Danio rerio: one gene and its partners. The protein of the gene in region 3 purifies or fractionates together with the protein of the main gene of each other region. This does not show direct contact. Links are inferred from orthologs where the notes say so. Each region holds a gene or a part of one and is shown on either strand. Other genes may lie near its edges. The genes, in order: ccnt1, mettl16, mepceb, lsm4 and ybx1.

Region 1 (4,223 bases), about 9.2 Mb from region 3:
GTGGTAGATAAGATTTTACCCGCAGCACATAAATAGTTAACTATATGCGACAAAAAACTATTGGATTTTAACACTATTTTTATTATTATCCATTTTAATCTTTTTTTTTCATTTGAATAATTTTAAAGTTTATAAATAAATAAAAAATACACTTTTTCTATTTTATACTATTTAGGAGCCATGCAACAGGTAAAAATCTACTTCTCTCTATCTCCCATTCAAGTTCAGGTTGCTTTATTGGCATGACAATTTGTACAGTATTGCCAAAGCATATTAGATGCAATAATAAATTTATTGACATCAAATTAATAAAATATTTTATAATATACATAATAGAAACAAGGAATAAATACAGACAAAAATCTGTAAAATTCTCAGGTAATAAGTATATTATTTAAAAAAGATAAATGAGTGTAAAAAAAATTCTAATGGTGTACAAATATTCTGCAACCAATTAAGATGTAATTTCATCCGCTGAGTATTTAGTAAAGTCATTATTATAACTAAAGTAAAGTCTATGTGTGGGAAGCACTGATGAAATTTCCTTGATGGAAAGATGACTGAGGGAGAGGAGGTCTATATATATATATATATATATATATATATATATATATATATATATATATATATATATATATATATATATATATATATATATATATATAAATATGTATATATATATATATATATATATATATATATATATATATATATATATATATATATATATATATATATATATGTGTGTGTATGCACTGTATGTATCCTGAGCCAAAAAAAAACCCACCAAAAATTCCTTGTTTGCGTGCACAGCTTTAAAACTACTTTGATAAAAGGTTTTGATCCACTCAATTTAAACATTGATATTAATAATTAAGGTATAATAATTGTTTAAACACTTCAAAACAGTAGATTTTACTCTATTTAAGATCAAAATGTTTGTTTGCAGTATTTTAGTTTATTTTTTTACATTTTTAAAGATGTTCACAACTCTACTGATCCTTCACAAACGTCTAAACCGTACTTCCTATCCAATACAAAGAAGTTATCTGTAAATGAATGCAGAAATGGAGGCAAAGCTACTTACTTTCCAGTTTCTGGTGCGTTTTAAGCGGCTGGGTGTCTTTTCCAAGATCTGCAGGAACTCATGAGTGAGCTCTGTGAAATAAGAATTCATTTTTTTTTAGTATTTGGACAAAAAAATACTCAATATTTATTAAATTTCTTCATAAAAAAGAAAAAGAAAAGAAAAAGAAAAAACAAACTAGATGTACATACCATCCAATAGCTCAAGAGTCACAGTGGGGTCAACATACTGCCACCAGTGTTTGCCATCTGTGGAAACGGGAATCTCCCAGTTGGACCATTTACAGGCCAGATGAATACAAACACAAGCTACAATTGGTGGACTGTACTGCAGACAGAACGTAGTCAAGTGAAGACTGAAAAAACACAAGAAAAAAACAAACATATATTTGAGAAACCATTAATAACCTTGTATTATTTAAAAAAAATAACCCAATATTGCATGTGACATTACTTCTAAATTCATTTAATTTGCCAGTTGAAGGTTAAACGTAAATATAACCTCACACTTCTTGCATACAGCAAATCGTGTACTTGACTTTGCTAGTTTACATATTCGGCAGCAAATGTATTAGAGTAGTAAGGTAATGGTCTTAAAAGCCGACATACCTGTTTGTTGCCATGAAATATGAAGTCTGAGCCAAATCCTTACTCGCTGGAACAATAAAAGGAAAGCTCATGATCAGACGTGAAATCTGTGAGCTTGGTGTGCTAGACGTACCCTTTACTGAGCAATACGAAGCACAGTTTAGAGTGAGCAGCTGGTTCTCACCTCGCACAAGCTGAGTACACTTGACAACATGTGTGTGAGGATGATCAATGGTGATCTCAAAACCTGAACGCAAGAGAGCAGATGAGAGAGAGAGAGAGACACTATTTTAGCTTTTCGTCTGAACTGTAATGGCTCCTCAGACATGAAGCCCCACACACAATATACAGGATGAGTGAGTGAATCACAAACATGGGTCTTCCAGTGCTTGAGCGGTCAGAAATCTGAGAAAGCTCCATGCAAGTGGCCTGTGGGGCAATTTGGTTATAGTCAAAACGCTCAGACCAAAACACCATTACGAACATGAGAACAGAATTTTTCAAAGTCAAAGCGAAATAAACACAATTGTGCACTTGAGGGTTATCATGATATGATGTAGGCAGGTATGATTACCAGCTAAATAATCAGTTTAATATAATATAAATAGTCCTACATAAGAAAGGGTAAAGCTCATATGAATAAGCACTAGAATAAGGATAAATATTGGAAAACTGCACACTATAAAAAGAATTAAACAATAAAACACAACAATTAAAATCATATTTTTTCCAGTCAGAAAGATAAACTGTGATTTATCTTATAGACCATTTTAATATGGTGTATTTTATTTTGGTATATGTAATGTCATTGGCCCATTAACTTTTCCTGCTTGCTGTCAAACTATTTCATAACTGTAACTAGAGCCGATTTAATCATATCTTAACGTTAAAACAGCTGTCATAACATTATCAATGTGTGGACATTTCTGGATTTTTGGAAGCTATGGAAATTAAAAATGTAATACAGAAATTAAGTTAGGTCCATTGTTATAGTTTACATCACTCAAACTTATCTGTATATGGGTCGAAGACATCATCAGAATGTGTCCTGGTTATTTTAGAGCCAAAAATTTATCACAATTTTCAATGGCTTACAAAAGTCACCCATTAAAATGTCATTCAGTGTAACAGTTTATATGAAAAAAAAACTTCATATAACCATATAAGAATCAACTGATGAAAGTTTTACATGCCCAGGACACGAAACAGTACTTTTAAGGATCTCCATGCAGCTATAAAATGCTTTAATTTGGTAATCAGCAGTCCTATGACCCACTGGGTGTACAAAATTAGCATGTTACTTAATGACGATGGAGCAAGAGTTTTATTTTGACATTTATATATTAATATATTTGATTATTTATATATATATATATATATATATATATATATATATATATATATATATATATATATATATATATATATATATATATATATAATATATTTATATATATATATATATATATATATATATATATATATATATATATATATATATATATATATAAGGGCTGCACGACATGGGAAAAATCTGATATTGCTATATTTCTGTGTTTCACAAGATAGTTTGAATAGCACTATTTGATGGTTATCTGGGAGTCTAATAGTATTCAGGTACAAAAATGAAATAATCACAATGCAAAAAAAGCTTTTCTTACTTTGCTTTGACTGATTTCTAATCCAAGCATCCAAAAATTCTTGGAGCATGCAAAAATATTGTATTGTCTTTAACTTAATTTAAGAGTTAAAGCAAGCTAAACTATCTGCCAGTGGGGCAAGTACAATAAACTTGCTTTCCTTTTGAAATGTAAATATTTGGACTGGAAACAAGACAAAAATTTGAAGCAAGAAAAACACTTTTTTGTTAGCAAAACTCATTTAAATTCCATAGACATACATTGATTAAATACAATTCTATAGTTTCTGTTCAACTATAATTCAGACTTAACATTGCAAATCTTGCGATGTGACTGTAGCGGATGCGCACATTGTGATATTGATAATGAAACAGTATATTGCGCAGCCCTAATATAAATAAATACATAAGAAGATTCATTACTTGCATTTTGAAAATGTGTTTGATGCGCAGTAGTGGACTCCAAAATGGGACCTCTAGTCTTTGACCCATATATAGTACAAAGATAAAACTATTAGTGACAAATATTATTTCCTGTCTTTGGCAGTCACACATTTTAACCAAGTAGTGCATTTGATTTTTTTTTGCACACAATAATGCATACAAGCTTTTTTTAAGCAGATTGAGGCTGATACTGGTATATTATTACCCTTAGTCCTTAGTGTAGTAGTCAAGATTATACTCTTAGCACAAAAATTAAAGCCTTTGTAAAACCACAGAAAGGGTGAGCGGCCAGATTGGCATGGTGATGATGCTCAATAGTCCTGTAGACTCCTGTGAATTATCAGTGAATGGGAACAAATGTGGTCATTGGTGCATCTCTCTAGCATGGTGATTCACTGACCCATTCTCTCCTTTCCAAACTTACCCAGGGTCTGGAGTATTATGCTCTCAAGAATGACCAGGTCTT
Region 2 (4,994 bases), on a different chromosome or scaffold from region 3:
TATATATATATATATATATATATATACGCATACATATACACACATATACACAAGTTTTGTTGTTTTGAATCTGATTGGCTAACGGCAGTGCGATATTCTGCAATATCAGAACTCCTAAAGCAGGCATGTCCAAACTCGGTCCTGGAGAGCCGGTGTCTGGCAATGTTTAGTTTCAAGCCTAATCAGACACTGTGCTAGCTAATCAAGCTCTTACCAGGCTTTCTAGAAACATCTTTGCAGGTGTGATGAGGCAAGTTGGAGCTAAAATCTGCAGGACTCTGGCCCTCCAGGACCGAGTTTGGACATCCCTATCCTTCAGCCCCCTAACCCTTCTTTATTACTCCACCCACAAAGAGTGACAGCAGATCAATAAACTCACTACAGTTTGGTAAATATTGCAGCTGTTGGACAACATAATGTAATTTTAGGCTTTTTTTTAGGCAACAATGTTTAGATTTTATTTATAAGGACAGTGCCGATTTTAAATATTTATAATTTTGGAGGTACAGCGCTATCTACAAGATGGCGACAGAGACCGCATAAGCCCTTAGAGAAGACAAACCAAGCGTAATTTCTAACTACAGCTGATCAAATCATTATGAAACAGGTAAGTGACTTCTTAGTCGTTCTCTCTCTTTTGTACGTGTAGTTCTGTACTTATACCATTTAATTGTAGTGTATCGAGTGTCAGATGGGACTCGCATATTAGGAATATATGTATTTTGTGTTGGCCACTCTGTGTATAACCCCGAGTTACTTTTTGGTTGGCCATCTGTTTGTTTCTAATGAGTCTCCTTTTTTCCATTACTGCAGACTAGTTCTAGAAAGAAAGAAAGAAAGAAAGAAAGAAAGAAAGAAAGAAAGAAAGAAAGAAAGAAAGAAAGAAAGAAAGAAAGAAAGAAAGAAAGAAAGAAAGAAAGAAAGAAAGAAAGAAAGAAAGAAAGAAAGAAAGAAAGAAAGAAAGAAAGAAAGAAGAAAGAAAGAAAGAAAGAAAGAAAGAAAGAAAGAAAGAAAGAAAGAAAGAAAGAAAGAAAGAAAGAAAGAAAGAAAGAAAGAAAGAAAGAAAGAAAGAAAGAAAGAAAGAAAGAAAGAAAGAAAGAAAGAAAGAAAGAAAGAAAGAAAGAAAGAAAGAAAGAAAGAAAGAAAGAAAGAAAGAAAGAAAGAAAGAAAGAAAGAAAGAAAGAAAGAAAGAAAGAAAGAAAGAAAGAAAGAAAGAAAGAAAGAAAGAAAGAAAGAAAGAAAGAAAGAAAGAAAGAAAGAAAGAAAGAAAGAAAGAAAGAAAGAAAGAAAGAAAGAAAGAAATGTGCTTAGCATCTGTTCTAATTGAAAACACAACAGTAGTCTGGTAGTATTTGCGCTGCTTTGGTTTTTTCTGAGTGAATTATTGTGATCTCCCGATAGCAACAGAGAAATACTGGGAAATGTCTCTAGACTGATGACATTTCATGCTTATCAGCCTTATAATCTTAAAATATGAGCAAAATCACCTGTTTTGTCGTCACTTTAGACAATACACTAGATAATTATTTAAATTCTAGCTCAAAAGTGATGTTGGTGAATGAGCAATGGTTTTTGCTGTTCTGACGTCAGCTGCAAATGTGAACAAAAGGTTTTAGACTCTCTGTCTTTGATTTTCTTTTTTATACATACAATTATGCCATCGAACTGTTGTATAAATGCAACATCACATTAGTAGCAGTGCGATGTAGCTGTATAGTATCACTGGTGGCACTCTATGTACACCTCCCACCAGTGCCAACATACAGCCACATAGCACTGCTCCGAGCATGATATTGCTCATATATTTATATAGTCTTTTTTCTACTTTTTAAATTATTAATTGTGAAACTATTATTCTCCTTGGATATCTCAGTTTACACCAAAAAAAAAATTAAGAAACAATGACAATAACTCGCCATTTTTGAACACCACTTTTAGAATTAACATTTTAAAGAAATTAAAATGAAACTTCATTTTAAAATTAGATTACATTTTTTTTACTTTTTTTTTCTCAAACACACCAATTTTTTTTTACCTGTAGTCTACATACATGTATATCAATATGATAATGAAATGAGAAACTACCTAATACATTTAAGAGTGATTACCAGAAATATAATCGTTTAAAATCACATGTAACTTCTAGTCAAACCCTAACAGAAAAAAAGTCTTCTACAAGAGTTCACAATCCTTTGAGGACTCACAGATCAGTCTCTCTTTCTCTCGCAATGCCAGAACAGAACAACACTTTTAATACCTCACATAATAATGCCTCCAGCAAGTCATATGACACCTTTCCTAAAACAAAAGCACAACATTACTTACGTAACTCTGCCGGTCAGTGTGGTCTGCACGTGCTTCTGGAATTCAGGATATTTGGAGGCCAGGTAAACAAAGTCTGGTGGTTTGTCCTTGTAACGGTTTCGGGGATGCATAGATTTATTCAGCGCCATTCTTCATGAAACTGCAAACACAGAATGAACATGACACCTTCAGAAAACCAACAACCACAAACAGATTTCCAAAAAGATCTTAAGGATATTTGTCCTCTAAATTAAAATAATTCTCGTGCTGTTTTGTATCTGTATGAACATTGTAAACAGATTCAAATAGAGATATTCAGTCACCATTCACCTAACTTTACACTATATGCAAAATAGTGACTGAGACTGTCAGTTTCTAACATTGTGCCTACCTTCTTTTAGTTATACACGACAAAATATTGTATATTTACCATATTAACATGGTATAATATTACATGGACTAAGACAGTCATATGATTGGGAGAAATAAAAAAACAAGAGCAAGGGTAATTAATGACATCTGATTTTGTGGTGAACTCCTCCCTTAAATCTTGTTTTGCAAAGCCAAAAATTAAAGTGCGACATTTATATGCTGTTTTTCAAAACACATATATTTATAAAAAGATCGAAATAGATATGTTCATAAAAGATATGTAACGTTAGATATGTTAAATACCACGTTGTCACTGCGCTTGTTTGGGTGTAATGTACTATACGAACCTAAATCACAAGTGTTTGTAGACAATCTCTAGAGAAATGATGCTAAAACTAGCCAAATAGCTAACAGTTTTACCACAAAACATGCATATGTAATAAACTGCGCATGCGATAGTGTAACGCATCGATAAATCATAAGAATAGATGAATACCGATAGATGAAAACTTCAGTAGTTTCTCAGTGTTCAGCACATTCAGCTGTCATTGGCGAATCACGTTGCCTCAACGTTGTTGTTCCCGGGTTCCGCTGTCGTCATAATTCAGCGTCGGCGAACGCTTATGGTGTCATAAAGTTATTTAAAAATAGTGACATTTCGTTTTTGACACCTGCGTGTAATTGAGATGCTTAAGATATTTAAAATATATTCTTTACATGCAATTTCTTCAGTGTCTGTGAAGAGAGTTGCAGCAGTGCAGGATAACTGGTAATTTCACCATCACCTCAGGTACACTGTAAAAATGCCTTCATTTTCAAGTCATCTAAACTTACATCAAACAAACCGACTAAAATATTAAGTTATACTCTGTACAACTTTAAAAAATAATAATAATTGAAACCATTTGGACTTTCAAACAGAAAAACATCAGCTGTCTTGATTTTAGATGTTAAATCCAGTTCCTGGAGGGCCGCAGCTCAACAGTTTATTTACAACCCTGCTTCAATACACCAACCCTGTGTTTCAAACAGAATTGTAGGACCTAATTGGTTTGATCAGGTGCGTTTAGTTCAGGTTGGAACTAAACTGTGACACCTGTGCAGCGTAGTATGAGCGTGTATGTGTAATGTAATTTTCTAATGTAATTTTTTTACATGAAGAACATATTATTGAACCTGGCAGCAATTTTCTTTTTTTCAGCTGCTCATTCTACTCAAATGTATTTCAAATCATCTACATTACATAGTATTTTAATTTGCATATTTAAAGTCCATAACACTTCATTGTTTTCTACCTTTAGATTGCGCATGCAAATTTGAAACCCACAATCAGAAATTACCACATTTATCATAATCTGTTAATTGTATTTCCAACTGTAATAAAAAAAAAATTAGATTAAGCCTTTCCTATGCATCTTTACAAAGACTCTTAAACCACACAAACTCACACCTATACCTTTGAATATATATTATTTACTCATGTGGATGTCTGTCTTTTAAGAACTAAAAAACAGAAGAATTAAGAATTTTAATTAAATCTTTTAATTGCACATCCTTATATATTATGTACATTTCTTTTTAGTCTCCTAATTTTATAAGCATCAAGTTCCTTCGTTGTATCTTGCATTAAATGATAAATCCTTCTACTCTGTATAAAAAGCATGCATTATTTTTCCACTCCCATCCAAACACTTAAGATTGCTGACTCTGCTAAACTTCCAAAAACAGAAGAGGCTGGCACACTTTTTTTCTGACCTGTTTGGTTGTTCAAATTCCAAAAAAACTTAAACCCATAATACAAATGATGTGCATTTAGCTATCTGATTTGAAGAGTCGCATGATCCCTGTTTGACTCCGCACACAGCATCAGACACAACATTCGTATTTTTTTCTCTTTAATTATGTTGCAAACAATAACATCCAGATATATTGTTAACAATTGGCTGTGTGAACAGTGATACCATAAAAAGCAGAGTCCCATTCAAGCTGTGAAGTCTGAAGCCTCCAATCTATTCACAAAAGTAATAGCTGATGATAAACCTGTGGCGGGAGGGCGAACCTGCAGACACCACCTTCACCAGTCTGTCTGCCTGTACATGAACTCATCCAGCGTGTGCTGCAGTAGGATTGCTTGGGAACTGCGAATAGCAAACCTTCTCTCCGGCAAACAAAAATAAACAGGACATCATTGTTGTCAAACCACTAAAGGTGTTATAAAGGGGCGGGTTCAATTTAAACATTTTTCGATTACCTAAACATGTAAATTCATTATCATTTACCTTCATGTTATTCTAAACAAGTAATCCTTTTGCTCATCT
Region 3 (4,853 bases):
TAGAACTATGATAGATAGACGGATGGATGGATGGATGGGCAGACAAGACGGACGGACGGACGGACAGATATGGATGGATGGATGGATGGATAGATAGATGAATGGATGAATAGATAGATAGATAGATAGATAGATAGATAGATAGATAGATAGATGAATGGATAAATAGATGAATGGATGAATAGAGAGAGATAGATAGATAGATAGATAGATAGATAGATAGATAGATAGATAGATAGATAGATAGATAGATAGATAGATAGATGAATGGATGAATAGATAGATAGATAGATAGATAGATAGATAGATAGATAGATGAATAGAGTTAGATAGATAGATAGATAGATAGATAGATAGATAGATGAATGGATGAATAGATAGATAGATGAATAGATAGATAGATGAATGGATGAATAGATAGATAGATGAATAGATAGATAGATGAATGGATGGATGGATAGATAGATAAATAGATGAATGGATGAATAGATAGATAGATAGATAGATAGATAGATAGATAGATAGATAGATAGATAGATAGATAGATAGATAGATAGATAAATGGATGAATAGATAGATAGATGAATAGATAGATAGATAGATAGATGAATGGATGGATGGATAGATAGATAAATAGATGAATGGATGAATAGATAGATAAATAGATGAATGGATGAATAGATAGATAGATAGATAGATAGATAGATAGATAGATAGATAGATAGATAGATAGATAGATGAATGGATGAATAGATAGATAGATAGATAGATAGATAGATAGATAGATAGATAGATAGATAGATTCCATATATAGAAATACAGACAGATGTTTGTGTGTGCAAAATCCAAACATTAATTATACATCCAATAACACACACACACACACACACACACACACACACACACACACACACACACACACACACACACACACACACACACACACGTCAGGAAGATCTGCTGCTTCAGCTATGTTAGTGTACCTTCAGGAAGCAGACGTTGCTGGGGAACTGGCCTGGAGACTGATGCATTATGGGAGGAGCGGCGATGGGTCCGCGGCAGCGCATGAAGGAGACAGGAAACCTGGGTAACACCAGCTGCAGGTCCATCAGCGGCACCAGCCCCGTGACCTCTGACCCCTCACCTGCTCCCGCCTGCTGCCTGTCCTGCAGCTCCGACAGGAAATGGCGCAGGTTCTGGCGGGCGGCTTGCACCAGCGCGCCATCAATGTCCAAGCCCAGGATGTGGGCGGGGCTGCAGTGTTTGGCGATGGCAAGGGTCACATGACCCGTGTTACAGCCCACATCTAGAACTTTTTTTCCAGAGAACCATTCGGGATTAAAAAGAGCCAATCGTGGGTCGTCGGTCATCGATGGTGTGCGGTAGCCATAGTAACGGCTGTAGGCTCCATTATGGTATTTGCGCCGCGGCCTGCGCTGCTGTTCATGGCTTCGCTCCGCCCCCAAGGGAGGAGCTCCGCTGGCTCCGCCTATAACTGGAGTGTGAAAGGTTTGAGTGTGTGTGATTAGCCGCTTGGTGGGCGGAGTTGGTGTGATTGACAGGCGAGAGTCCGAGCGACTGACAGTTCGTCTGCGCTTCCGATGTTTGGACGGATGGGGCGCAGAGGCGGACCTAGAGAGTAATTGAGGGGCGGAGCTAGACGCAGAGGGGTGTGACTTACGCCGTGGCAGAATAGGTTGCACCACTTCATCGCGGCAATTAATCGAGGTGTTGAGCTCATACGGACGCGGCGACTCCTCGACAGGCGGAAGAACGGCACTGTTCGCAGCCTCTTCAGGATTAGCTACAGGAAATAATGTCGTTTCATTGGTTTTTGACTTCTCACAATCTGATTGGTCGGCAACGCCTGTGGTCGCTCCAGGATGATGGCGGTTGCGGTGTCTGCGTCTGATCTTCATTGGAGAAACCAACACACCGGCAGCCGAATCTCCGCCCCTGCCGCTTAAATTCAGCGGGTCTGTAATATCTTTCGGGATGAGAATCTCCACCGGGTCTCGGTTTTTAGAGGGGAGTGGCGATGATTTGGGCGTTTCGGCATTAAGCGCTTTACTGACCTCCTCGTCCAATAGGCTGTTGAGGTTTAACGGATCAAATATATTCCCGCCCAGCAGGAAGTTAGTAGGAAGCACAGGATCGCATTCAGAATTGGCGCGGCGTCTTCGCTTACCGAGACTCGGATGTTTGAACGCCACGTTCATACTGTAGCGCCGCTTCTGCGCCAGTTTCTGCGTCTGCACTTCAGTTCGAGTTTGTAGGCCATTTTTAATCTGAAAGGGCCCCTCGGCGGTAACCCCATCCTGTGGGGTCACGTGATTGGCTGCGAGTTCGGTTAGCACAATGTTAGCGGTCACCTCATCTTTAATGGTCTGCAGTGGGGACGGCGGGTGGGCCAGTAAACCTGCTGCCCCACCAGCAATAGGAAGCTCACTTTGCACTGACATCACAGTAGACATCCATCAGCCGCTGGAAACACAGAAACACACCATTCAAGTACAATATACAAGATATAAATGTGTGACGCTTGCAGATGAGTACTTACTTGACTACTCTGAGCCTGCTTTCTGTATTGTTTTATGGGCACTGATGTGCTTGTGACCCACGTGTTACATTTGGCTCATCTAACAGCTCCACGGCGCGTTAATTTAACTAACTCCGCCTATGGGCGGGGCTACCGCGACGCTCATGAATAATGCAACGGAAACGCGACTCTCGAAAGCTCCCCCCCTTTCCGACACAAACGCACACGTCCGTTAACACAGACACACACACACAGTACTGAGCGAGATATTTTCTCCGGCTCTCTCGCGCTGAGAGTAAACACGAACGCCAAAAATCAAACAAAAACAGCGCACACGACACACTATGTACACAGACCCGCGCTCATTAGAGCTACGTAAACACACAGCTGCACTTGACTCGCGCTACTGCAGATATGAAAAACACTTTGCTAAAATGGTGCTGATTAAAAATAGACTTTGATCTGTCGAATGTTCATGAGCGCTTGAACTCGCAGTGCTCCATCTCGCCCTGTGGCACAGCAGACCAGCGCGCTTATATATTCCACCACAGACCAAGCCTGACGGACAGTCGCGTCTGCCAATCAGAAAGCGCGATATACGTTAAGGCCCCTCGAACAACCAATGGCGGAGCTTTAAATGAAGGCATGTGCTCGCAGTCACCGCCCCTCCTCTTTTAATAGGTATCCAGCGGACTGCCTGAATTGACCCGTTAGACACTAAATATTATCGTCAAAATCAGTAAAATATAACAAATTGACGACAAAATGCATTTGTTTATTTAACAAGAGTATGTGTTTGAGCAGAATCCCATAATTCTGCTTTGGAGAACGTTCGGGAACTCGAAACAGGCAGTCGTCACATGTGTAAACAACCCCTGTGAGAGTTCTTCCGCGCTGAATTTACGCTTATAACAACGACTAATGATCGGATAACTAATAAAACATGACTTATGTCATATTAGCATTTTATATCGTATGGAATTAGCGCCTCTGCGAGTTTTAAAGAGACCCTCCCACTCTGCTGCAGGAGGAGGAGACTTCTGGGAGATGTAGTCCTTTTGATCTGAACCTGTTGCCAAAAACAAGAAAATAACAGCATAATATGATTCATTATTTTGATTATTGTGAAAGAAAACCCACTTGAGTCAGTGGATTCAGTGTATGCATTATTAAATCATTATTTTTGTTTGGCAGGACTGGTGTAAATGGCCTAAATTACACACATTTAGCTTATTTACAGACAAGAGAGAAGAAGAGATAGCTAACTAAAGGTATAGAAATATATTACAATAAGAGTGTCATATATGTGACCCTGGAACACAAAACAAGTCATAAGTGTTGAGTTTTAGAAAAATAAGCTGAATAAATAAGCATTCCCCTAGGTATGTCTTTTTTAATGCCAAAATGAACTATTTTTGATAACATATGAATAAATTAAAATGACTATTCTGAAATTTGAAGGTAGATAATGGTATTATACACTGAGAAAATCACCTTTAAAGTTGTCCAAATTAGGGTCTTAGCAATGTATTTTACTATTCAAAAAATGAGTTTTGATATATTTACAATATAGACATGTATAAAACGTCTCGATGTATGATGATGATCACTTATACTAATGATTTTTGGCATAGAATAAAAAATAATTTTGACTAATTCAATGTATTTTTGACTTCTCCCCTACATATACACTCACCGGCCACTTTATTAGGTACACCTGTCCAACTGCTCGTTAACGCAAATTTCTAATCAGCCAATCACAAGGCAGCATGTGCCAACAATGCCTTGTTGATGCCAGAGGAGAATGGCCAGACTGGTTCCAGCTGATAGAAAGGCAACAGTAACTCAAATAAGCACTCGTTACAACCGAGCTCTGCAGAAGAGCATCTCTGAACACACAACACGACCAACCTTGAGGCGGATGGGCTACAGCAGCAGAAGAGCACACCGGGTGCCGCTCCTGTCAGCTAAGAACAGGAAACTGAGGCTACAATTCACACAGACTCACCAAAACTGGACAATAGAAGATTGGAGAAACGTTGCTGCTCTGATAAGTCTCCATTTCTGCTGCCACATTCAGATGATCGGGTCAGAATTTGGCCTCAACAACATGAAAGCATGGATCATCCTGCCTTGTATCAGCGGTTCAGGCTGGTGGTGGTGGTGTAATGGTGTGGGGGAGATTTTCTTGCCACACTTTGGGTTTATTAGTACCAATTGAGCATCAACGCCACAGCCTACCTGAGTATTGCTGCTGACCATGTCCATCCCTTTATGAGCACAGTGTCTCCATCTTCTGATGGCTTCTTCCAGC
Region 4 (4,849 bases), on a different chromosome or scaffold from region 3:
AGGAAGCAGATGATTCTGGATGGAAAAGTGAGTTATTTTTAAAAAAAACTTGTATATTTGTATGTTTCTTATAAAGTATTTTTGTGTACATGCATAATTTTACAATTTTTTTTCCTTGATTTAATTTTAAATCTATTGCAGGATCCTGATTTGGAAGAAAAAAGGAAAAATGAATTAGAGAAGATCCGAGGAAAAAATAAGAAACTCAAAGGAAAAAACCCCCAGAGCAAAAAGGAAAAGAAAAAACATGAGAAAAGTGCAAAAGCGACAGAAGTTGGCTCTTAATTTCCTCTCTTTTGTACAATTTAATATTATGTATATAGCGTGAATATGCTTATATTTAATAAACATGTGATGCAGTGTTGACTGTGTTGCTACATGAATGAATGAATCTGTGTTGATTTTTTTATTTTATTTTATTTATTGCTTTTTTCTGTGATTTCCTACATCTTTTGGGTTTAAAATTTTTTTTCACAATTTAGAGTTTTTACACTTTTTTTTTATTTTATAGCATGTCCACTGTAGTGGACCACAGGACCATTTTAGATAGAGGTAAAGCTGTTTTTCTATTCACATATTCCTTTATTTAGAAGTCTCTATATTGTTTACCATGTTACTTTGAATATTCGATCGGAATTAGCATGCAAGTCTGACTTCTAAACAACATTAACACTATCTAAATCACTGTAAACAATGCTGTACTTTAATAATCATTGGCTACTAATACGATTTCCCAATTTAAAATTTGCTAAGAAAACTTTTCTAAAATTATATTACTAAGGGGAAAGTCTGAATGCGAATATAAAACCAACTTTACCTCTATCCATTTTGGTTCAAAACAACCGCCAAACTCGGACAACAAAACTCTACAGGATATGGCTGTAAAGGGATATTAATCCAATATCAATGTAACAAAAAGAAAACAAAAGCCATTTTTTCCTTTTGTGTTGAAATTCCTGAAACAGTTTAGTCTAAAAGAGAGCCAAACTCAAAAGAAAAAAAGAGGTGATGTTAATTCAAAACAAATTTAACATAAAAGGTATTTATTTAATTGTCTGATTGTCAGACTTTAAATCCGAGTCTCCCTCAACTATCTTATAAAGAATCCTTTCTGCTTCCATTCTGCCCCTACAACATGCAGTCATTAATTACATTAATATGGTCCTGGTGTCCTTGAAACTTTCTGCATGAAGGACTCATAAATGGCAGATTAACCTGCTGCTGGATGATGTGTGGATGATTTACACGGGGCATAACTAAGCAACACAGCGATCTGTTAAGGAGGAAGTAGTAAGTCTCAAAGCTTGCATACTCTTTTGTTGCACACTCAAAAGTATAAACTTTTCCTTTACAAAAAAGTACATACTTTTTAGGGCGTAGTATAAATATGTGATTTGGGACGCAGCGTTTTGGGACTTTTGCTTTGACAACTTCCGCTTTCACCTGGAAGTACAACAGTAAGTGGTTTGCAGATCGCCTTGTGCTGCGAAGAAGATTCACAGAAAATCATTTGTGATTGAAGTCTTCAGTGGATTAAAACTTCATATAAAGACTGATTGGTCATTCAGCTGACATGGTGAGATGAAGTCGATAAACTTACTGGCTAACGTTAGTGAAATTAAGATTTTCCGCTGTGTTTATTGGATGATCTGTAGGTCGGTTAACACCGATTACGCGCAGAAACAAAGCGTTGTGTAAACGTTTTATTTGGGTGTATACACGAATCTTTACAAGCACGTTACGTACTTATTTAGTAAAATAGATAAAATTAGTTAAAAATCAATGTAGACGGCTATTATACATTTATTACTCTATTAAATTATCTCTACAGACATGCGAGGAACTTCAGAAGTCAGAAAGGTTTTGGCGTAGTTTTATCAAGAATATCCAAAGTCGGTTTTATATTCGCACATTCGTTCAGTGACAACTTGTGACATGCTCCCTACCTTGTTTACCATGGTACTTTAAACATTTGGTCTAAAATCACATGCAAGTATACTTGTGTATATGACTTGAAAACATCATTAGTGACCAGCCCGTCAACAACCATGCCACCTTCATAGTCACTTAAATCCCCTTTCTTCCAGCTTTCTGATGCTCGATTTAAACTAACGTTACAGCAGATCATCTTGACCATGTGTACATTCCTGAAGGCATTTCGATTCCGCCATGTGATTGGCTGATTAGAAATTTACGTTAATGAGCAGTTCGACTGGTGTACCTAATAAAGTGGACAGTGAGTGAATGTTTAAAATATATAAGCAATGGTACCTAAATAATCAAGTAAATCATCTTGCATATAGAGGTAAGTTTAGTTTTATATTCGCATATTCAGACTTTCCCCTTAATAATATAATTATAGAAAAGTATTCTTTGCAAATTCTAAATTGGAAAATCAAATTAGCAGCCAAATGATTATCAAAGTACAGCATTGTTTACAGTCAATTAGATGGTGTTAATGTTGTTTAGAAGTCATGTTTGCACGCTAATTCCGATCAAATATTCATGTTAAACATTATAGGGACTTCTAAATGAACGAAAATGCGAAAATAAAACTAACTTTACCTCTATATCTTACGTCAATAGTTTTTTTTGCATTATTATATATGCAGCAGAGAATGCAATTCGCTCCTGTTATGGCTTATATGAATAACAGGACTGAGTTTTTAACATTTAATGATCAAATACATGCTAAATGCTGTACGCTGTAATCTCTCGGCTGTGTATTTTAAACATGGCAGGTTTTTTGTTTTCATTCTGGCTTATTGCGTAGACGAATGACGTATTTCTGTAAACCTAGAACATTCAGTTGCACATCTAGCTCCGCCTTTTGGTACCCTTTCTCGTGTTTGGTATCCTTTCGAAATGGTGCCTAAGAAGTGGTACAGTTCGGTTCGCCTTTTGACAGTGCAAATGGCCATAAAAGCGTACCAAACCGAACCGTACCACTCAGTGAAAACAGGCCATAAGCGATTTGTTTTTCAAATATTTGCTGAATCGTGGGCTAACCGGTGTCTTGAGATGTAGAGGGTCCTTTTCTGCTGGAGATAGTGTTGCTAAATGAAAACTAAATGAAATCAAACAATCAAACAAAACTTGCATATAACATAGAAAAAATATCTGAAAAATAATAGCAATTTTAAAATTTTAAGTTTTCCAAACCGCTGTTAACCTTGAACCCAGTTATTGTCCTATATGCTCAGTCCAGGGTCACATATTCTGGTTAGTGAGTGTAATCTCCAATTGAATAACAATTAACAATATTCCATTGTGAGCACAGAAGAAACTCTTCATTTACTCTGTTGTTAGCATGACCACTCGAATTCTTTCTTTTTCTTTTCTAGCTCCCGTTATCTTTACTGAAGACGGCACAGAACCACCCGATGGTGAGTATCAAGCAGCTCACTTCATGCGTGCATCTTTATTGTCAGCACGAAGTTAAAGGTGCCATGATCAGGGATCATACTGTCCTGAAAAGTCATGGAATTTTGACAAGGCATTTTCCAGGCCTGAAAATGATTTGGAAAAACAAATAAACCCAAAATGTTATAACGATGGTTTGTTCTGTAGACTATTAGAAAGATATATAGCTTAAAGGGGCTAATAATATTGTCCCTAAAATGTTTTTTTATTTATTTAAAACTGCTTTTATTTAAGTAAAACAAATAGGACTATATATATATATATATATATATATATATTTATTTATATATATATATATATATATATATATTTATTTATTTATATATATATATATATATATATATATAGTACTTCAATTAAGAGCAGAGAGGGATTTTCTCGTTGTTTTATTAATTATGATAAAACAGGCGGCAGCTATTGTGCTCTGTCACTTTAATGGTTTCGCTTTCACGCGTCATTTGATTCTCAACTCATTTGTTTATTACACAAATGAGGGTTAATATGAATAATCACTAAATACTGCGTTTTGACACCTGTTTGAACATTAAAGCGCTCACGTTAATGACTTTAGATGTGTGTGCTCTCTGCTCGTCGCAATGTGCGAATAAGACCAACTGCTGACCGCATGCTTCTGACTGTGTCTGTGCGGCGCACACACACAAGCATGTGGTCTTTCGCGCTTTTAAGAGCAACAAGTGAGGACAATTGGACGGGGGCGGTAAATAATGGAATAATCGTTTATCTCGATTAATGTTTTTTTATAATCGTTAGAAGCCGAAATCGAATTTTCGATTAATTGCACAGCCCTAAAATGAAGTGCTGAACAATAATTGAGCTTTTAAGTTAATCTGCTTTTCTTTTCAGCTGGTTGAGTTAAAGAATGGCGAGACATACAACGGCCATCTGGTCAGCTGCGACAACTGGATGAATATAAACTTGAGAGAAGTTATTTGCACTTCACGGGTAAATACGACTTCATTCAGATGAAAACGTCTTTGGGAGACTATTGATTCCTTACAAAATTAAGCAAAACACTTGTTTGTTTTATTTAAACAAATCTGCAGGTTATTTATTTGTCTTGCTGAAATGTGACGGCTGTTTTTTCTGCTTGCTCTGATTTGCAGGATGGAGATAAGTTTTGGAGGATGCCAGAATGCTACATAAGAGGAAGCACCATTAAATACTTGCGAATCCCTGATGAAATTATAGATATGGTGAAAGAGGAAGTGGTGTCAAAGGGCCGTGGCCGGGGTGGCATGCAGCAGAATAAGCCACAAGGAAAGGGCAGAGGAGGTGGACCTGGAAGAGGTGGCGGACCTGGCAGAGGTCTGATGCTTTTATATTCATACAATAGATCATATCATATAATCATTCCAGACATATATAGCCCTCCTTTTCCCCCAAGTTCTGTTTACTGAGAGATTTT
Region 5 (3,602 bases), on a different chromosome or scaffold from region 3:
TCTAATATAATATGTGGGTCAGGGAACATCCACAATCCTATTAGAGCTTTGCTTACAAAGCAGGACCTGACATGCACTAGCATGCTAATATTTATCCAAATATTTAACTTGCTGCTCAACTGAACATGCTTGTTTACACTAAGTCCTCGGCTTTTAATGTTTTCACTTTCTTTATTTTTGCAGGAATGACACAAAGGAAGATGTCTTTGTGCATCAGGTGATTATTTTCTCCAGTTTTCTTTTTATATTTGTGTTGGGGTAGATGTATTTTTTTCTGATTGCCTTTGTTTTCTGTCTAGACCGCCATTAAAAAGAACAACCCCAGGAAATATCTCCGTAGCGTTGGGGACGGAGAGACTGTGGAGTTCGACGTGGTAGAAGGGGAGAAGGTGAGCTTTTAGTCGTAGCTTAGTTTGACTCAAACAAAAGTTTCACCACACAGTTAGAAATATTAGGCTTGAGGACTTGTTTAATAAAAGTCAAGGACAAATTATTTATTGAGAAATGTATTATTTCTTTCTTGCTTTTATGTAGTACTAGTCAAGCTTTGGGCTTTAAATTAAAATGCATTAAACAGCACAAAATCATAACACAGATGTCAAACTCAATCCTGGAGGGCCGCAGCTCTGCTCAGTTTAGTTCCAACGCTAATTAAACACACATGATAGAACTGAGTCCTTCAAGCTTGTTTAATACATACATGCAAGTGTGTTGAAGCAGGGTTAAAACTAAACAGTTCCTGGTGGGTTGCAGTCCTGTATGGAGTTTGACACCCCTGCCTTGACTTTAATTGACTTTTCGATAGGGGTGGCTGAATATCTTGACTCTTGAATATGTGGAAACTTCACTAGACGCTGCTTGACCGTGTAAGCAGAGTGTTTATTTCTATATTATAACACTTTGTCAGTCGCCATTTCCTAAATGTTCACTCAAGCCTTTTATTGGAGACGTTTACTAGAGCACTTCACAATTCTTTTATTTAAACTGCTTTGTTAGTTTTATACTCTGTTTGTTTACTGAAAGAACTCTGTTGTCAACAAAGACTAAAGCTGAACTGAAATAAATTTTTCACAATAAATGAAAATAAAACTAAATAAAACTAATAAGTCACTGAAAAATGAACCAAAACTGAAAATATTAATTAGCAAAAATAATAGTTTTCAGAGCTAATCAATTGTGTCCGTGAGGTCTTGAATTTCTCTAAATTATTAACTTTGCGTTTAAGACTTTAAGGGCCTTAAAGTATTGTTTCAATTTAACTTTTGCATCATGTTTGAGTATAGGGTTGTTTGATTATAGTTGTATACTAAAGTTTTAAATGTTGTGATGCTGTGTAGTTTATGAAGTTGATAGTCCTGCTGTATTTGATGTCACACTGCTTTGTTTACTGCAGTAATGAAGGCAGCACACTGTTCTATAGGTGACATCTTCTGGATTAACATTGTTAAAGTATATGAATGATGTTTTAGTTTAGGACTAGTTTCTTACAGTCAATATTTAGTGAATCTATTTAATGTCGCCAATGTTATTGGTTCAGACTTGGTGGCGATGAGGTCTTCATGTTTGGTGATACCTGTTGGTTGTCAAGTGCATGATGTACCAAAAAACTAAAACGTATCAGTTTTTGTTATCTGCCAAAATTTGTTAACTATACATGTTGATACTTTTAATATGATGTTTCTCACTTTCATGCCAAACAACAGTTTATGATTTTGCTAATTTTTTTAAGTTGAATTTATATGGTGTTTCTGTTCAAGTCCAAAAAAAAAAAAAAAGCGGTGAAAACATTTGCTTAACTCTAGGTGTGTGAGAATTGCCAAAACTGAAACTAAATGTGTAAGAACAAAATGAAAATGTTGACAGCAAATTAAAAGCCAAACTAAAACTAACAAAGCCATTAATAAAAATGATAAGCTGAAATTCAAAATCAGAGAGGTTATGTCATCAGAACTACTAAAATAATTCTCTGCGTATCCTAAATAAAAATGCTTTGAAGCCGATATTGATTAAGCATCATATTTCTGGCCAGACTCTGAATGACTTACTGGAAAATTCTGCATCCATTATCTAAAGCAACAGCCCATCTATTAAATTAGCGGACACTTGATCTGCATTGTCTTCATTCTGTCAGGGGGCTGAGGCAGCAAATGTTACCGGCCCGGGTGGCGTTCCTGTGCAGGGTAGTAAGTATGCAGCTGACAGGAACCGTTACAGGCGGTACCCACGCAGGAGGGCCCCACCTCGCGACTACCAGGAGAACTATCAGAGCGACCCTGAGGCAGAGCCCCGGGAGAAGAGAGAGGGGGCAGAGAGCGCCCCCGAGGGGGAGATGCAGCAGCAGCAGCGCAGACCCACTTACCCCGGCAGACGGCGCTACCCACCATACTTCGTGCGGAGGCGTTACGGCAGACGCCCCCCCTACACCAACTCACAAAGAGGAGAGATGACAGAGGTATGCTTTTGGTGATGCCTGAGCATCAGTCAGTAAATTAAATTGGAAGCTGCTTTTTTGACTGATGGATGCTTTTCTTGAATTTTAGGGTGGTGAAGGTGAAGAGAACCAAGGGGGTCCAGACCAGGGCAACAAACCAATGAGGCAGAACTACTACAGAGGCTTCCGACCAAGGTTTGTATGTCATAAGAGGAACAATACTGCTGCTGGACTTTGGAGATCTTTCAGATATTCATGATTTTCATTATTTAAGTTTTCTTTTTCTATTGTTTTAATTAAGTATTAATTTAGCAATTCTATTTATTTATTTTTTTAATAGAATGATCCACCCCAAATTACAAGTTTCCTGATAAATTACTCTTGGGTCATTGAAGTAGGCCTGTCACGATCAATATATAGACTTACTGCACAACACATGGACTTGACCTCGATCATTTTTGGTGATGCAGTATATATCGCCCATACATAATCAGTTCTAGCAACGTTTTAACTGAGCAGCCTCTTTATGGTTCTAAACATTGTAGTAATTCCTAGAGTATATTTTTATGTGGATGACTGACAGCTGAAAATAGATCTGCTAACATATCACAGACTTTGTTACTTATTACCTTGCACTTTTATTCTATTTAAATTTTTTGTTAACATTTTATTGTTTACAATATGCGTTTCACACTTTTTGATTCCAGTGCCTGATTATTAAATAGTTAAAATGGCAATTAAACAATCTTAAGAATAAATTGTGTTCTTTGGAAGTGTATTTGTTTTGTGGTTAATATATTGTCATTCTGGCATTATTTAATAAAAGGCTTTTAAAATGACAATAATATTGTTTATCACTATACATTTTGGTTCAAAATGTTGTTTAACAAAAAAATAGATATTGTGACAGGCCTACGTCTAAGATGTAGATGACTTAATTTTTCTTCTCCTTTTTAGCTAAATCTGTGGTCTTTGGGGATTTTATATTAGAGCAGTAAATGGTTCTGGGTTTTCTAGAATAAAAATAAAAGCATACAAAAGAGTCAATCAATATCTCTGTGCAAGTGTGACTAGTCTTTATGATTTGATTTGTCATTTTTGATCTTGATTTATGAAAGTGCAAAGGCACTCATTCAAACAAGTGATGCAGTTTTTGTATTTTGATGACTGA

Evidence for each region.
Region 1: the proteins of mepceb (region 3) and ccnt1 purify together in Homo sapiens (affinity purification with mass spectrometry; 3 studies listed by BioGRID and IntAct, with this or other methods). This does not show direct contact. The link is inferred for Danio rerio from reciprocal best matches to the Homo sapiens genes MEPCE and CCNT1.
Region 2: the proteins of mepceb (region 3) and mettl16 purify together in Homo sapiens (affinity purification with mass spectrometry; 3 studies listed by BioGRID). This does not show direct contact. The link is inferred for Danio rerio from reciprocal best matches to the Homo sapiens genes MEPCE and METTL16.
Region 4: the proteins of mepceb (region 3) and lsm4 purify together in Homo sapiens (affinity purification with mass spectrometry; 3 studies listed by BioGRID and IntAct, with this or other methods). This does not show direct contact. The link is inferred for Danio rerio from reciprocal best matches to the Homo sapiens genes MEPCE and LSM4.
Region 5: the proteins of mepceb (region 3) and ybx1 purify together in Homo sapiens (affinity purification with mass spectrometry; 3 studies listed by BioGRID and IntAct, with this or other methods). This does not show direct contact. The link is inferred for Danio rerio from reciprocal best matches to the Homo sapiens genes MEPCE and YBX1.

What each region holds. Positions count from the first base shown.
Region 1 is NC_133198.1:38,760,455-38,764,677, reverse strand, and holds part of ccnt1 (cyclin-T1), read right to left. Parts: coding exon 4,182-4,223; intron 1,922-4,181; coding exon 1,696-1,921; intron 1,443-1,695; coding exon 1,279-1,442; intron 1,159-1,278; coding exon 1,088-1,158; intron 1-1,087. UniProt on the Homo sapiens protein: Regulatory subunit of the cyclin-dependent kinase pair (CDK9/cyclin-T1) complex, also called positive transcription elongation factor B (P-TEFb), which facilitates the transition from abortive to productive elongation by phosphorylating the CTD (C-terminal domain) of the large subunit of RNA polymerase II (RNA Pol II).
Region 2 is NC_133190.1:27,742,647-27,747,640, forward strand, and holds the start of mettl16 (RNA N(6)-adenosine-methyltransferase mettl16), read right to left. Parts: upstream 3,292-4,994; 5' UTR 3,024-3,291; intron 2,465-3,023; 5' UTR 2,454-2,464; coding exon 2,326-2,453; intron 1-2,325. UniProt on the Homo sapiens protein: RNA N6-methyltransferase that methylates adenosine residues at the N(6) position of a subset of RNAs and is involved in S-adenosyl-L-methionine homeostasis by regulating expression of MAT2A transcripts.
Region 3 is NC_133198.1:47,984,990-47,989,842, reverse strand, and holds the start of mepceb (7SK snRNA methylphosphate capping enzyme-like), read right to left. Parts: upstream 3,051-4,853; 5' UTR 2,561-3,050; intron 2,485-2,560; 5' UTR 2,475-2,484; coding exon 984-2,474; intron 1-983. UniProt on the Homo sapiens protein: S-adenosyl-L-methionine-dependent methyltransferase that adds a methylphosphate cap at the 5'-end of 7SK snRNA (7SK RNA), leading to stabilize it.
Region 4 is NC_133186.1:6,965,334-6,970,182, reverse strand, and holds the start of lsm4 (U6 snRNA-associated Sm-like protein LSm4), read left to right. Parts: upstream 1-1,458; 5' UTR 1,459-1,573; coding exon 1,574-1,576; intron 1,577-3,344; coding exon 3,345-3,386; intron 3,387-4,287; coding exon 4,288-4,386; intron 4,387-4,547; coding exon 4,548-4,749; intron 4,750-4,849. Other genes in the region: probable ATP-dependent RNA helicase DDX49, read left to right, coding at 1-27, 142-285. UniProt on the Homo sapiens protein: Plays a role in pre-mRNA splicing as component of the U4/U6-U5 tri-snRNP complex that is involved in spliceosome assembly, and as component of the precatalytic spliceosome (spliceosome B complex).
Region 5 is NC_133183.1:56,873,984-56,877,585, reverse strand, and holds part of ybx1 (Y-box-binding protein 1), read left to right. Parts: intron 1-183; coding exon 184-217; intron 218-299; coding exon 300-389; intron 390-2,131; coding exon 2,132-2,452; intron 2,453-2,540; coding exon 2,541-2,626; intron 2,627-3,602. UniProt on the Homo sapiens protein: DNA- and RNA-binding protein involved in various processes, such as translational repression, RNA stabilization, mRNA splicing, DNA repair and transcription regulation.